2 linked regions of the Ovis aries genome follow. The protein of the gene in region 1 interacts with the protein of each later gene in a biochemical or structural test. Links are inferred from orthologs where the notes say so. Each region holds a gene or a part of one and is shown in the gene's direction. Other genes may lie near its edges.

The links.
Region 2: of the proteins of BMP1 (region 1) and CHRD, one has a biochemical effect on the other in vitro, tested with the Homo sapiens proteins (3 studies listed by BioGRID and IntAct). The link is inferred for Ovis aries from reciprocal best matches to the Homo sapiens genes BMP1 and CHRD.

Annotation. Positions count from the first base shown.
Region 1 is NC_056055.1:43,401,929-43,409,389, reverse strand, and holds part of BMP1 (bone morphogenetic protein 1), read left to right. Parts: exon of another isoform or gene 1-222; intron 223-541; coding exon 542-667; intron 668-3,668; coding exon 3,669-3,796; intron 3,797-4,139; coding exon 4,140-4,353; intron 4,354-6,311; coding exon 6,312-6,892; 3' UTR 6,893-7,461. UniProt on the Homo sapiens protein: Metalloprotease that plays key roles in regulating the formation of the extracellular matrix (ECM) via processing of various precursor proteins into mature functional enzymes or structural proteins.
Region 2 is NC_056054.1:203,591,385-203,598,845, reverse strand, and holds part of CHRD (chordin), read left to right. Parts: intron 1-100; coding exon 101-230; intron 231-353; coding exon 354-482; intron 483-574; coding exon 575-674; intron 675-796; coding exon 797-884; intron 885-1,241; coding exon 1,242-1,383; intron 1,384-1,499; coding exon 1,500-1,640; intron 1,641-1,722; coding exon 1,723-1,805; intron 1,806-1,881; coding exon 1,882-2,029; intron 2,030-2,186; coding exon 2,187-2,293; intron 2,294-2,430; coding exon 2,431-2,550; intron 2,551-3,201; coding exon 3,202-3,358; intron 3,359-3,691; coding exon 3,692-3,912; intron 3,913-4,334; coding exon 4,335-4,448; intron 4,449-4,762; coding exon 4,763-5,035; intron 5,036-5,110; coding exon 5,111-5,204; intron 5,205-5,325; coding exon 5,326-5,382; intron 5,383-5,654; coding exon 5,655-5,758; intron 5,759-7,101; coding exon 7,102-7,204; intron 7,205-7,461. UniProt on the Homo sapiens protein: Dorsalizing factor. Key developmental protein that dorsalizes early vertebrate embryonic tissues by binding to ventralizing TGF-beta family bone morphogenetic proteins (BMPs) and sequestering them in latent complexes.

The DNA of each region.
Region 1 (7,461 bases):
AATGGGCTGGGGGCTTTGCAGCCGCCCACCCCCACCTCCGCTCGGCCTTGCCGGCCCACCTCCCTCTGGCCGGACAGAACTGGTGCTCTCCTCGCCCCCACCCCCCTCACATGGACAGGGGCCCCTCCTTGCCCCCCGCCCCCTCCCATTTTGATGGTGTCTGTGACATTTCCTGTTGTGAAGTAAAAGAGGGACCCCTGCGTCCTGCTCCTTTCTCTTGCAGTCTGCTTGTCCATGTGTCTGTTTTTCCACTTGTCCGTCTGTCCAGTAAGCAGGTAATGGTAGAGGGCGCCCATGCTGGTCAGCTCCAGACCCCAACCCTCCCTCCGTCCATTTCAACTTTCTCTCCGCACAGCTGGGCCCCCTCAGCTGGCTCTGCATGAGGCAGTGCCCTGGACCCCCACCATCGCCTTGACCTCCGCTCCCTGCCCTGCCTCCCCCAGGGTGGGGAGGATGCCCGGCCAGGCCCCCCACTTCCCTTGGGGTGCCAGTGCCCTTGGCCCTTGCACAGACCGGTCCTCCCTTGCTTGCTCCCCTGCAGACAAGGACGAGTGCTCCAAGGACAACGGCGGCTGCCAGCAGGACTGCGTCAACACCTTCGGCAGCTACGAATGCCAATGTCGCAGTGGCTTCGTCCTCCACGACAACAAGCATGACTGCAAGGAAGGTAAGTGGCCCAAGTGCCCATGGCCAGCTGGCAGCCTGAGAACCAAGACCGTGGAAAGGGCTCAGAGATGCCGTCTCCCTCGGCCTCTGTTTGGACTCAAGTAGCTGAGTGACCTCTGAGGTCACCTCGTTTCGCCTTCCATGCTCCTCCCTCCACCAGCAACATTCAAGACACACACACTTACGGAGGGGAGGGGCTTGCAGCTATCCCCAGGCCCTGTTGTCAAGCTGATCTGGTAACTAGCGCTCCTTCAAATCCATGTTCAGGTGTGTCTCTTTGTTCCAGCCTCCCTCTGTCAGGGAGGTGAGCTGGGATAGTGGTGAAGAGCTGGGCTCTGGAGCCAGGCTGCCTGGCCTAGCCCCACCTCTTAGCCAGCTGTGGGCCCTGAGCCGCTGAATCCCTCCCTCCACACCTGGATTTGCTCGTAGGTGCTGCCTGGTTGGGCGGTGACACTGTGATGTGCTCCGAGAAGTGCCTGGCTCGTAGCAAGCACGATCACGTGTGTCACCATTACTGGTCACGTACTCTGACCCCCAGGGACACCTAGAACAGGGCTGCGGCCTCCCTGACATTGAGGCTCTGCAGAAGCTCAAAAACAGTTCTCGTGTCCTCTCCCATATCACGTGATACCTCCTCTTCGTACACAATACAGCCCTGGCCTGCTCCCTCTGATCAATACCACTGTGGCCCATGCCAGCTGGTGATGCACTGTCCCCAGCTACACAAAGCAGACTCGCCTTTGACCTTAAGTGTCTGTGTGCTCTTGGGCCAGTCCCTCACCCCTCTGAGTTCAGCTGTCTCATGAGGTGGCCCTAAGCTTTCGAGCCCCTGCTTTGAGCACATAGCACAGGGCCTGGCAGATGCCTCTTCCACACCGTCACTGTGTGGACAACCAAGGTGCCAGTAAATAAACTGCCAACTAGAATAAACACTGTTGAAGCACTGAGTAGACACTCCAGAGCTTTTCACCCCCACTTCAGTCTCCCAGATACGGAGTTCACCTGACTCATGGAGCCCCCACATCTTTTAGCTAGGGGGAGGACCTTCTGATGCTGTTTCTAAACTGCATGCCCTCTCTGTGCTCTCAATGAAAATGAAGGTTTTGCTAAGGAACCTTCCACACCAGCGTCAACAAGAGAGCAGGAGCAGGTGTAAAATTCCTGGGAGGGTAGCCTGTGTGTGGCTCTGAGTCACTTGAGAAGCACACATGGTTCCTTACTCAAGTGATGGGCTAGCAACAAATCAGTATTTCCTGACCACCACCCCCGCCCCCCGCAGAGGGTGCAGCACCGTGCAGAGTTCTGTGGGGAATTAAAGATGGGGACCCCTCTGCTCTCGAGGAGACTGCTATCTAGCTGGGAAGAGAAGCAGATGTGGAAATAAATTAGAGGGCGGGGAATACCAGTAAAAGTGGGGAGATAGTGAGTGTGGACAAGGAAAGCTGAGGATGAGTAATAGAAGCAGCTCATAGCTCAAATGTGGAGACCAGCAACTCCACACAGCCCGAGAGGGCCCTGTTCCTCTCTGGACCCTGGCGGCCTTGCATTCATCCTGTGAGCCTCTGACTGCAGGCGCGGCTGTGTAGGCTGCACACCACCCACCCCTTTTTCCTTCTCATCCCAGCAGTGCACTGGCTTTTCCTCAGAGGGACCTGTCAGATTGGATGATAAGGAATAAAGGGCATCAGCATTTCAGTTGGAGTTGTGAGGCTGTGCTTTTCCGAGGCAGAAAGCAGATTGCCATGGATCAAGGAGTCATGAGCAGTGAGAACGTGACATCGCACGTTTTCTTGAAGAAAAGGGAGATACGAGGGATGGTAGTCAGAAGGGAGTGTTGTTTTAGGATGCGCAAAGTATAGGAAGGTTCGTGGGCTGGATGAGCTGGCAGAGAGAGCGAGCGTGGGTAACGTGTGATATAGAGGTCCCCGGATGGTGGGCAGCAGTGAGCTCCAGCTCATGAAGGAAAATCTACTCCTGCCCAGGGTGAGGGGCACCTTCTCTGAGATGAGGCAGGAAGGAAGGTGAGTGGAAAGGTGAGTTTGCAGGTAGGGGTCAGGAAGTTGAAGTTGTTCATATTTGCAGACTCTGCCTTTCCCCAGGAGGCAAGAGGGGAGGTGGTCTGCTGGGAGGGGGAGCTGGGAGTTGAGGAGAGGGCCAAAGGTTTGGAGCCGTAGCTGAGGAGGTGAGAGATTGAGCTGGTGAAGGGTGAGTCCAAAGAATACCAAGCAGTGGGGGCCCAGCCACACTTAGAGACCACAAATGGGGTTTTCCAAGATGGTACAGTTCAAGCATGGCCATTGATGAGCAATCGGGGTGATGGGCCGTGTGGTCCAGCTGATGGAGAAGCAAGGTAAGTAAACCCAGGAGGAAGTATTGGGAGAAACCAGAAGGATCAACACCGTGGAGGTCTCTCTAAAGTTGACAAGGTGTTAAGGGAAATGGGGAGAGGGGTGCGCTGGCACTGAGTGCCCTGGAAGAATGAGAGGTAGCCACCAGCACCAAGAATTTGTGGGTGACGGCAGAGCCTCGTGGGGAAGGAAGTGAGAACTCAGAACTGAGAAGGTCAGGGGAGGTCAGCGTATGGGTGGACCATCCACGGGTTTGCTGACGTCACCTAGGATGGTAGCAGGAGTGGAGTGGAGAGAACTGAGTCAGGTGCCAAAGTCTTCTGTGAACACGGAAGCGTGGCAGGAGATCAGAGGATGGGGGCAGAGGAGGTGTGGCCAGATGGCCTCCAAGGTCCACAGGCTACCTGGGAGGGCTGCTTCCATAGGTGCTGCCAGGCGAGGGCCAGCTTGGAACCAAGCAGCCAGATTTCCCCAGGCTGGATGGCTGAACAGAAAACAAGTCGTGTGAGCCTTCAGCTCATTTCTAAGTGGAAGACAAGAGAAACAAGAAAGGAGTGGGTGGGAGGGAGGAAACGGCTTCCTTCCTTTCTTCATAGGGGCCATTAGAACCCAGGAGTCCCCACTGATCCCCTTCCCTGCCTCACCTCCCCACAGCGGGCTGTGACCACAAGGTGACATCCAGCAGCGGCACCATCACCAGTCCCAACTGGCCTGACAAGTACCCCAGCAAGAAGGAGTGCACCTGGGCCATCTCTAGCACCCCTGGGCACCGGGTCAAGCTGGTAAGGTGCCACTCCCAGGCCTGCTCCTCCATGCCATCTACGCATCACCTACTTCCCATCAGCTCCAAAGCCTCACGTCACTCAGAGCGCCTTAGGCTGGCGACTGGCTGAGCCCACAGGGCCAGCATCCCTGTGGGAACTGCAAGTCTAGCCTGGACAGAGGCCCTTTCCCCAGCATCATGGTGGGGTATACCTGCCATTGCCCCATTCCTAGGTCCTCCCTCTCCCCATCCACCAGCAGCGGCCACTGTCCTGAACTGGGGTCCAGAGGTCTTGGTTTGTTGCCCACGTCTCCTGCCCTTGGCCATATTCCTGATTCTCTGTTCTCCCTCACACCCTCCAGACCTTCATGGAGATGGACATCGAGTCCCAGCCTGAGTGTGCCTATGACCACCTGGAGGTGTATGACGGGCGTGACGCCAAGGCCCCCGTCCTGGGCCGCTTCTGCGGGAGCAAGAAGCCCGAGCCTGTCCTGGCCACGGGCAACCGCATGTTCCTGCGCTTCTACTCTGACAACTCCGTGCAGAGGAAGGGCTTCCAGGCGTCCCACTCCACAGGTGATCCCCGCTGTAGGCCAGGTGCCCTCATGCAGTCATTTGTCCTGAAGGCATCTGCTGATTCTGGTCTCAAATGCAGACTGGGGGCTAGGATGGGGGTATACAAAAAGCTCCTGAAGACAGACAGGCCCAGCCCCTGGCCAGGTGGGGAGACAGCATGTCCTGAAGGCTGCTAAGCTGATTTCTGCCTCAGGACCTTTGCACCAGCAGTTCTCTGGCTTGAAACACCTAAAATCATCTTCCCTGGAATCATTGCTCTACCTCATTATTTGAGACTCAGCTCAAATGCCTCCTCAGTATAGAGACCTTCCTTGCCCATCTAATATAAAGCAATGCCCTCTTCTTTTTTTATATATCATTCAGCTTTATTTTCACCAATGTGCTTATTTTCACCAACTGGAATTATCTTATATATTTGTTTACTTGCTTATTATCTACTCTCCTTGCCCCCCTAGAAGTAAACCTTCACAGAGCAGGAACTTTCTGTCTTGGCCCTGCTGTCTTTGTAGCAACTAGACTAGTTCTTGGCCCCAGTAGGTGCTCAAAAAATATTTACTGAATATTTTTAAAAATATTACTGAAAGCAAAGTAAGCCTTCTGGGCAAAGGAGGGTAAGTCCTGATTTGGGGTATGAAGGTCAGAAAACAGGGCAGTAACAACAAGGGGTAGAGAACCCAGAGATGGGGAGGGAATCTCTGGAGTCCCTAGTGGCAGGACACTTGACTGTGCAGTGGCCCATCCACATCCCACCCCCCAAATCCACTCGTTCATTCATTAACATGCCGCATGTATGTTACAGCATCCTGAGTGTGGGTCAGTCCTTGAGGGATTTGCTCTGCATCTACTCATTCGTTTATTCAACGACTTTTTATGGAGCCCTGGCCCCCTGCAGGGGACTCAGAGGGGCATGGGGAAATGAATCAGCCATGAGCCCTTCACCTTGCCCACCTGGGAACCCGCAGCCTGGGGGTGAGATGGGACCCAGACAGATAATTCCAACAGAAGACAAAACACGATCAGGGCCTTGCTCTGGGTATGAGATGATGGGTCATTGCAGGTGGGAGAGGAGCCCAAGCACAGCCACAACTCCAGATAGCTCTGGGTGTACATAAGTGAATGCAGGTCATGTAGTGGCTAGAACAGTGGGCATGTGATGACAGCAGTCAACTGGGGATGGTGTGGCTGCAGAGAAAGGCTATAGCCTAGTCCTGCGAGGCCTGGGATGTCAGACCAGCCGTGGTCTCTGAGGGCTTGGTAGGCCTCTTGGAGTCTTAAGCTACCTGTTGGGGAGGTCGCAGAACTGATGGGTCGACAGCCTCCCCTCCTTCCCTTCAGCTCAGGCCTGCCCACCTACTTCTCTCCCCTACAACCCCCACCGTGAGCCCAGGTGTCCTGGAGGCCAGAGGACATTCAGAGAAGTTGTACACGGATGGCCTTGCCCTCATCGGCCCCTCCCAGCACAGGGTCACACACTGGAGGCCCGGAACTCCATATGGCTCTCAGAGCTGCTATGTTTGGCCCACAATGTGTTTTTTAAAAACCCGAGCCAACATTTAAAAATTAGGAGTTTTCACATAAAACCCAGATGGACATCTTCTCGCTTAAGAACGGGAGCTCTGGCGTCACAGAGCCCGCATTCTTCCATGACAGCTATGAACTGGAGCAAATTAGCAACGTTGTCTTGCAACAAGTGCACCCTCCCTGGGGCCTCCATGGAGAACGGCCTTTCACCCGCCGTGTCCCCGGGCCTCCGTGGGCATCTTTCCAGAGAAAGAGCAGCAGAGCACTAGTTCCAGGCCAAGTCCTGGGCTGGATCCAAACCCACCTATCTCTAGCCATGTGGCGCTGTCCCAGGGCCTCCATCCGGCCAGGAGGGCTGCACGTGGGGAGGGACAGTGCCTGGGCCACGACTCTGCTCCGGGGCAGCAGCTAACCTTGTGTCCCCCTCCTCCCTCTAGAGTGTGGTGGCCAGGTTCGGGCAGAGGTGAAGACCAAGGACCTTTACTCCCACGCCCAGTTTGGCGACAACAACTACCCAGGGGGAGTGGACTGTGAGTGGGTCATTGTAGCCGAGGAAGGCTATGGTGTGGAGCTGGTGTTCCAGACCTTCGAGGTGGAAGAGGAGAGCGACTGCGGCTATGACTACATGGAGCTCTTCGACGGCTATGACAGCACTGCCCCCAGGCTGGGACGCTACTGTGGCTCAGGGGTGAGGCCCCCACGCTCCTCACCTCTTTCACCCAGTGCAGGGACCCCGTGCCTCTGTAGACGTGTGCAGCAGCCCTTGCCTGGCACTTTGCAGGAGCCAGAGATCCAGCCTGCTGGGTCTCCCAGCTCACAAAGGCCCACCTGGCCCTGGGCCATCCCCACCCAGGAAACCAGGTCATTTCTGGCTGACACTGAGGTTCCTGCAGCCTCTGGGATAGACCCTACCCTGACCCAAGCCTGCTCAGCACCACTTCAGTTGGGTCTCCAAGGCAGTTTGCACTGGAGTTCCCTCTGCCCCCTCATTCCCTTGCCCTGGTCCAGAGGCAGCTGAGCAGGGCCCGGAATGAGGGCAGAGGCTGGGGCAAGAGCCAGGGCCCAGAGCTGAGCTGAGCCGCGCTGGGCAGTTATCCTGGCCGAGCCACAACAATACCCTCATCTCTTCCACTGCCAGTTTCTCTTCTTGGTGACAAGCCAGCTGGTCCCAAAGCATATTGGTGCTGCTGTCCAAGCAGACACTGAGCATCATTTCTTGGTCCATAAAATGGTACTTTCAGAGGCAGTGGGCAAGAATTTTCTTGATGGGGTTTTAACTAAGGTCACAGGAAAACCACAGAGGTGGATTTATTTTCTTCCAGGCAGAGCCTGTGAATTCTTTGGTGTTTTTTTTTTCTTTTCTTTTTTAATCCTCTCTTCCTTCAGAGAATGCCATCTTCCCCTTCCCATTCTACATACCCACACACACTTTGGCACATGTACTCACACTCATATGTACACTCAGACATGCCCTCCTGCCCATCACTTCCTGCTCCCCTGCCTCTCATGGCCGTGCTCTAGGACAGCCTGGGTGCCCCAGAAAGGGTTAATCTTCCCAGGAGCTGCAGCAGCTGCTGGACCCAGCAT
Region 2 (7,461 bases), on another chromosome or scaffold:
GGGCCGACCTTGACCTTGTCCGATGCCTTCTCGGCTTGCCTTTGATTCTCAACAATTGATGTCTTGCCCTCACTCGGCTTTCCGTCTTCTCTGTGAGCAGCCTCAGTGGGGTCGCCGCGCAAGGGGCGCAGGCAGGGTCAGCTGCAAGAACATCAAGCCCGAGTGCCCAACCCTGGCGTGTGGGCAGCCGCGCCAGCTGCCTGGACACTGCTGCCAGACTTGCCCCCAGGGTAAGGCCGGCTCCGCGGAGAGGGGAGGGCGGCAGGGCCGAGATGCGTGGCTGGGCGGAATGGAACGGTCAACTGGCCCTCTCCTTGCCCACCCGAAACCCGTGTCCCCCACCCTCGGTGCAGAGCACAGCAGTTCGGAAAAGCAGCCGACGGGCCTGGCCTTCGAGTATCCACGCGACCCAGAGCACCGAAGCTACAGCGACCGTGGGGAGCCAGGAGCTGAGGATCGGGGGCGTGGAGACGGCCACACGGGTAGGCAGAGGCCGGGTAGGAACTGGGGTTGTGACAGGCGCCGGGCCGCAGCAGCGGGTGACGGAACTAGGGACATCTTCCTCCCCTCGCAGACTTCGTGGCGCTGCTGACAGGGCCAAGGTCGCAAGCGGTGGCGCGGGCTCGAGTGTCGCTGCAGCGCTCCAGTCTGCGGTTCTCCATCTCCTACCGGCGGTGAGAAAGAGGAAGGAGGGAGGAGGGGTCAGCCCGGGGCCAGGGAGGGAGAATTTGGAGAGGCTGCAGCAGCGCTTCTGGCCCAGGCTCAGAGCCGGTGCTCAAGGGATGCTCATTACCAGGCTGGACCGCCCTACCCGAATCCGCTTCTCTGACTCCACTGGCAGCATCCTGTTTGAACACCCTGCAGCGCCCACCCAAGATGGCCTGGTGAGATGATGCCATTTATGAGTGCTTATCCCATCTGGGCACTATGCTGAGAGCATGCTCTACATTGCCTCCTCGGGTCCTCACAACAGCCCAGTGGGAGAGAGGCACTGACATTATGATGCCCATTTTACAGATGAGGGAACTGAGGCTCAGTAGCAGAATGTGATTTGTTCAAGGTCATACAACTAGTTGGTGGAGGATCTGGGATTTGAACCCTGGCATCTGGTTCCAGGGCCCTTTCTTACACATCCTAGGAGAGCCTGGGGACAGCTTCCCGTATTCCTTTCTCACCAGACATGGGCCTCTCAGCAGGCATGTCCTGTATACTGAGAGGGCCTTCTTGTCTCTCTGCTCCAGGTCTGCGGGGTGTGGCGGGCAGTGCCTCGGTTGTCCCTGCGACTCCTTAGGGCAGAACAGCTGTATGTGGCACTTGTGACACCCACTCACCCTTCAGGGGAGGTCTGGGGACCTCTCATTCGGCACCGGGCCCTGGCTGCAGGTGAGGGGAGCCAATCTCTCCTGGACGTGAAGTTCAGAGTCTTCTTGGCCCCCCAGAAATGGAGTGGGCTGAGGGGGGCACTTTCTGATGGGCTCTCGTGGTCCTTTTTTCCCCAGAGACTTTCAGTGCCATCCTGACCCTGGAAGGGCCCCCACAGCCAGGCATAGGGGGCATCGCCCTACTCACTCTCAGTGACACAGAGGACTCCTTGCACTTTCTGCTGCTCTTCCGTGGGCTCCTGGAGTCCAGGAGTGGGGGTAAGCGGGATGGGGGCAGACACGTGAAGAGGGTAGGGAGAGCACCCATCTTTCAGAGGTTCCATGTGTGTGGCTATTGCAGGACCAGCCCAGGTTCCCCTGTGGCTCCGGATTCTACACCAGGGGAAGCTACTTCGAGAGCTCCAAGCCAATGCCTCAGCCCAGGTGAGTGAGGGTCTGGCTCTAACTGCCGCCTGCTCTAGCCTCTTGCTGTGCCCACCGCACCCTCCTCTGCCCCCAGGAACCGGGCTTTGCTGAAGTGCTGCCCAACCTGACAGCCCAGGAGATGGACTGGCTGGTGCTGGGGGAGCTGCAGATGGCCCTGGAGAGGGCAAGTGGGCCAGGGCTACGCATCAGTGGACACATTGCAGCCAGGCAGAGCTGCGATGGTGAGGCAGGGTGAAGCCGGGCACCCCGGGCACACACAGTGAGAGGCACAGCAAAGTGCCAGAGGAGGGGCCAGGGTGGGTACAGGAGGGATCCTGGGGGCTGGGGTGTGAATGGCCGTGGGGCAAGCCTGCGTCCACCTGTCCCTCCCCTTTGCAGTCCTGCAAAGTGTCCTTTGCGGGGCGGATGCCCTGATCCCAGTTCAGACGGGTGCAGCGGGCTCAGCCAGCCTTACACTGCTAGGAAACGGCTCCCTGATCTACCAAGTAAGAGTCAGGGGTGGGGCAGGGGCGGTGCAGGAGGTGAGAAGGCAGCAGGGCAGGGCGGGGCTTTAGACTACAAAGGTTCAGGGCCCAGCCCTTCTCTGCTACTCTCATTTGCCCTCCCCACTCCTGCCCTCCAGGTACAGGTGGTAGGTACAGGCAGTGAGGTGGTGGCCATGACGCTGGAGACCAAGCCTCAGCGGAGGAACCAGCACACTGTCCTCTGCCACATGGTTGGACTCCAGCTGGGAGGACACAGGGTGAGTGCTTCAGGAAGACCAGGGCCGCAGGGCCCAGGCAGCAGAGTTGACAGTGTTAGGGGGCCGTGGGAAGCCTGTTGGATGAACAGGGATGTTTGGCATTATTCACTCACTTGCAGTCTCTCTCACTGATGCATTGATTCACTGGACTCATTTTTTAGTGAGCCTTGGGCTAAGGACTGCAGTACAAAGAAAATCAGATGTGGCTCTTGTCTTCAGGAAGCTTGTATCCAGTGGAAGGAGTTACATAGGGAGGCCAGTGCAGCAGATCATATAATGTTAAACATAATAGCAATGACTGCCATTTATTATTGATCCTTTCTAGATGCCACAAACTGCACTGGTTGCCTTGCTTACATTATTTTTGGCCCTCACATTACTCATCTAACAGATGATGAAGAGAAGGATCAGAGAGCTTAAATAATTCCTCAAGATGGGTTGCATAGGTAGGAAGTAGCAGAGAAAGTTCTTGAACCTGGGCCTGCCGGTTCTTAGCCAGTGTTACTGGTGCATGGCAGTGTGTATGGGTTTAGTAGGGATGCACAGCAGCATGGAAAGGGTTCAGAATCTTGGGCTTGTGTGAAAGCTGAGGAGGGTTCATCCGGGGCCTGGCAGGCTGCAGTTTGGGCTCACTCTTCCCTGCCCTCTCAGGCCGTGGGTATCTGCCCTGGGCTGGGTGCCCGGGGGGCTCATATGCTGCTGCAGAATGAGCTGTTCCTGAACGTGGGCACCAAGGACTTCCCAGATGGAGAGCTGCGGGGCCACGTGGCCGCCCTGCCCTACAGTGGGCACAGCGCCCGCCATGACAGTGAGTGCTCCAGGGGTCTGCCCCCACCTTTGGTGTCCTCTAATTCAAGCATGTGAGGGATGGTGCGAGAGGGCCAGAGCCTGGCACTTCTTTCTCTGCACCTGAGCTCCAGTTGGCATCTGGAGAAGGTGAGGATGTTCAGGGTGGCCCTGCCGGGAGATGGTCCCTCTCACCACAATGCAGGCCTCTCCCTTGCTGCTTCCCCAGCCCTGGGCCTGTGGACAGTGCCTGCTAGTTTGTGGAGTCTGTGCCGAGGGAGATGGGAAATGCTAGGGTTAAGTCACTGCTCTCAGCCATCTTCTCATTAGTCATCTCTTCTCTGTCTGGATCCAGCACTGCCTGTGCCCCTGGCAGGAGCCCTGGTGTTGCCCCCGGTGCAGAGCCAGGCAGCAGGGCACGCCTGGCTCTCCCTGGACACCCACTGTCACCTGCACTATGAAGTGCTGCTGGCAGGGCTTGGTGGCTCAGAGCAGGGCACCATCACTGCCCACCTCCTCGGGCCTCCTGGAATGCCGGGGCCCCGGCGGCTGCTGAAGGGATTCTACGGCCCGGAGGTGAGGAGGTGTTGGTGCGAGGCAGTTTGGAAAATAGCTGCTTTTTAGCATGAAAGGCTCTGTGGGCCTGGGCAGGGGAAACAGAGAGCAGGCAAGCCTCAGGAGTCAGACAGACCTGGGTACGAATCTGGTTCAGCCTTTTAGTATCCTTTTATCCACCTGTGTCCTACTCTGCTGGGATCTCGTGGGTAGTTTGTAATGTCCTGGACCTCCAAGGGGTGGGTGGGATGGACCAAGCCCCCGACATGGGCTGGGTTGCTGTAGACCTGGGGCTTCTGAGCTCTGCACCATTGCTGATGGGCTTGCTTCTCTGGAGACCTTACTTAACTTCCCTGGGTCTCAGTTTCCTTACCTGAGAAACTGGGAATGGCAGGCTTAGTCCGAGAGTGCCTTGTTCTGTCCCCTCTTCTGTCTGCTGCCAGGCCCAGGGTGTCGTGAAGGACCTGGAGCCCGAGCTGCTGCGGCACCTGGCTCAGGGCTCTGCCTCCCTGCTGATCACCACCAAGGGGAGCCCCCAAGGGGAGCTGCGAGGGCAGGTAGGGAGGCAGTGCGGGCCTGTTGGGATGGGTCAGATTTGGGTGAGTACTGTGGTGCTCTTTGTTAGCCACTTGCCCTCTCCGAACCCTGGGGGCGGTAGAATTGCACACACTGCCTAGCTCGCTGAGAGGATGAAGCCAGACTAGGTACTTAATGAGGCAAGAAGCTGACCACCTGTCCTTGGTGGCTGGGATGAGTGCTGTGGCTAAGAGCATCCTTCTGGGGCAGAGTGGGTGCTCTGGGTGTCTTGGCTGCCACTGGTGGAGATGCAAGAGGGAGCCTGGGTGCTGCCTCAACCTGCCTCTCCTCTCAGGTGCACATTGCCAACCAATGTGAGGTGGGCGGCCTGCGGCTGGCGGCAGCAGGGGACAAAGAAGTGCAGGTGCCTGGGGCTCTGGAGGCGGTGGCGGCCATGGTGGCCCCACTGCCCGCTGTGCCGGGCCCAGACACCTCAGCGCCAGCCAGACCAGGTGGCCCCGGTCGGCTCCGAGACCCCAACACCTGCTTCTTCGAGGGGCAGCAGCGCCCCCACGGGGCTCGCTGGGCTCCTAACTATGACCCGCTCTGCTCACTCTGCACCTGCCAGGTAGGAGGCCCCGGAAGGGTGCACTGGGGCCTGGGTTCTGGAGCCCCGGAACCAACCCTCAATCTCTCCCTGCAGAGACGCACGGTGATTTGTGACCCTGTGGTGTGCCCGCCGCCCAGCTGTCCAAGCCCAGTGCAGGCGCCGGACCAGTGCTGCCCTGTGTGCCCGGGTGAGTGCCCTGCAGGAGTGGAGAGGTCATGGAGGGTCCACCATGGGGGGCAGTGAGGCCTCTGGGGAGGGAAGCAAGAAGGGGGCCAACCTCTGCCTTCATTATTTCTTTGGATCCACAGAGAAACAAGATGTCAAAGACCTCCCGGGGCTGCCAAGGAACAGGGACCCTGGCGAGGGTGAGCTGGAAGTGTGTGAATACAGGGGTGGGGAGTCAAGCGGAGCTGCTGGGTAGGATGGGGGGTAGTGGGAGGGGGAGTGTATTTACTGGGATGGAGGTGGTTGAGGGGCACAGGTCACAACTGACACCTGAGAGGCTTCATTAAAGGCCTTGGCCCACAAGTGGGCCCTGGGGCTAGACCACTGTGGAGTTGGCCTGAAGCTCCAGCCTGGGTTGTGGACCTAGGTAATGAACTCAGCACTAATGGCGCTGGGCACTGTCTCCCACCAGGCTGCTATTTTGATGGTGACCGGAGCTGGCGGGCAGCAGGCACCCGGTGGCACCCTGTCGTGCCCCCGTTTGGCTTAATTAAGTGTGCTGTCTGCACCTGCAAGGTATGGCAGCCCAGCTTTCTCTGATGCTGGAACCCCTAAGATCTTCAGAGTGGGAGAGGGGGCTTCTGGGAGAGGAAAGCCCAGTCTTGGTGGTCAAAATAATAGGAGAAGTCCTTTGCACAATCTTTTCAGAGGGTGGCCACACCATGGGACTTGGGCTTCCCTGGTGGCTCAGATGGTAAAGAATCTGCCTGCAATGCAGGAGATCTGAGTTGATCCCTGGGTCAGGGAGATCCCCTGGAGAAGGGAATGGTAGCCCACTCCAGTATTCTTTCCTGGAAAATCCCATGGACAGAGGATCCTGGCAGGCTACAGTCCATGGGGTCGCAAAGAGTTGGACACCACTGAGCAACTAAGCATAGACAGCACACACACCACATGACTTGCAGGACCCCAGACGGAACGTGGACCCATGGCAGGAAAGTGCTGAGTCCTAACCACCAGGCCACAGGGAACTCTCAGTCCCTGGGCTTTGAGAGTTGGCTTCCTGTAGGAAAAGGGCAAGGGCTGATTTGGGTGAATTCTGGCTCTCCCAGCTGACTAGCTCCATGTAACCCTGGGCACTTTCTGTATGTCCCTGAGTCTCACTTTGCTCGCCCAGAAGCAGAGATGGTTCCACCTACCTTGCAGGGCTACAGTGAAGATTTGAGTTCAGGTATATAAAGCCCCAGGCTTCCCAGATGGCACTAGGAGTAAAGAACCCGCCTGCCAGTGCAGGAGATACAAGAGATGCAGATTTGATCTCTGGGTGGGGAAGATCCCTTGGAGCAGGAAATGGCAACCTACTTCAGTATTCTTGCCTGGAAAATCCCATGGACAGAGGAACCTGGAGGGCTACAGTCCATAGGGTTCCAAAGAGTCAGACATGACTAAAGCGAATTGGCACGCATGTAAAACCGCAGTCCAAGCCCTCTGGGCTTCCCTGGTAGCTCAGCTGGTAAAGAATCTGCCTGCAGTGCAGGAGACGCTGGTTCGATTCCTGGGTTGGGAAGATACCCTGGAGAAGGGACAGGCTACGCATTCCAGTATTCCTGGGTCTCCCTTGTGGCTCAGCTCGTAAAGAATCCACCTACAATGAGGGAGACCTGGGTTCAATCCCTGGGTTGGGAAGATCCTCTGGAGAAGGGAAAGGCTACCCACTCCAGTATTCTGGTCAGGAGAATTTCATGGACTGTATAGTCCATGGGGTCACAAAGAGTTGGACACGACCGAACAACTTTCACTACAAGACCTCTGAGTGAAAAAGGTCACACGTCTGAGGTATACGAAAAGGAAAGGAGGAGGCAGAAGGCTTGCATGTTCTGCTTTTCTCCTGACACCCTTCACTCCATGGATCCCTGCAGGGGGGCACCGGGGAGGTGCACTGTGAGAAGGTGCAGTGTCCCCGGCTGGCCTGTGCCCAGCCCGTCCGTGCCAACCCCACTGACTGCTGCAAGCAGTGTCCAGGTAAGGGGGACAGGGGCCCCGGGGCCTCTAGGGGCAGATGAGGCTCTTCATGCCTTGTCCTGGGTGGGGCGGATGCGTGGCGAGGGGATGCCTTTTGAAGGTGGAGGAAAGGGATGTCTTAGCTAATTCAGCATTTACCCAGCACTGCTCTCTGCCTAGCCTGAAGTTAGGGATCTACATGCAGCAGAAGAATGTGCATGTGTTAGTGGGCTGTGATGGGATCCAGTTCCTGTCCTACCCACCCATCCATCCACCCA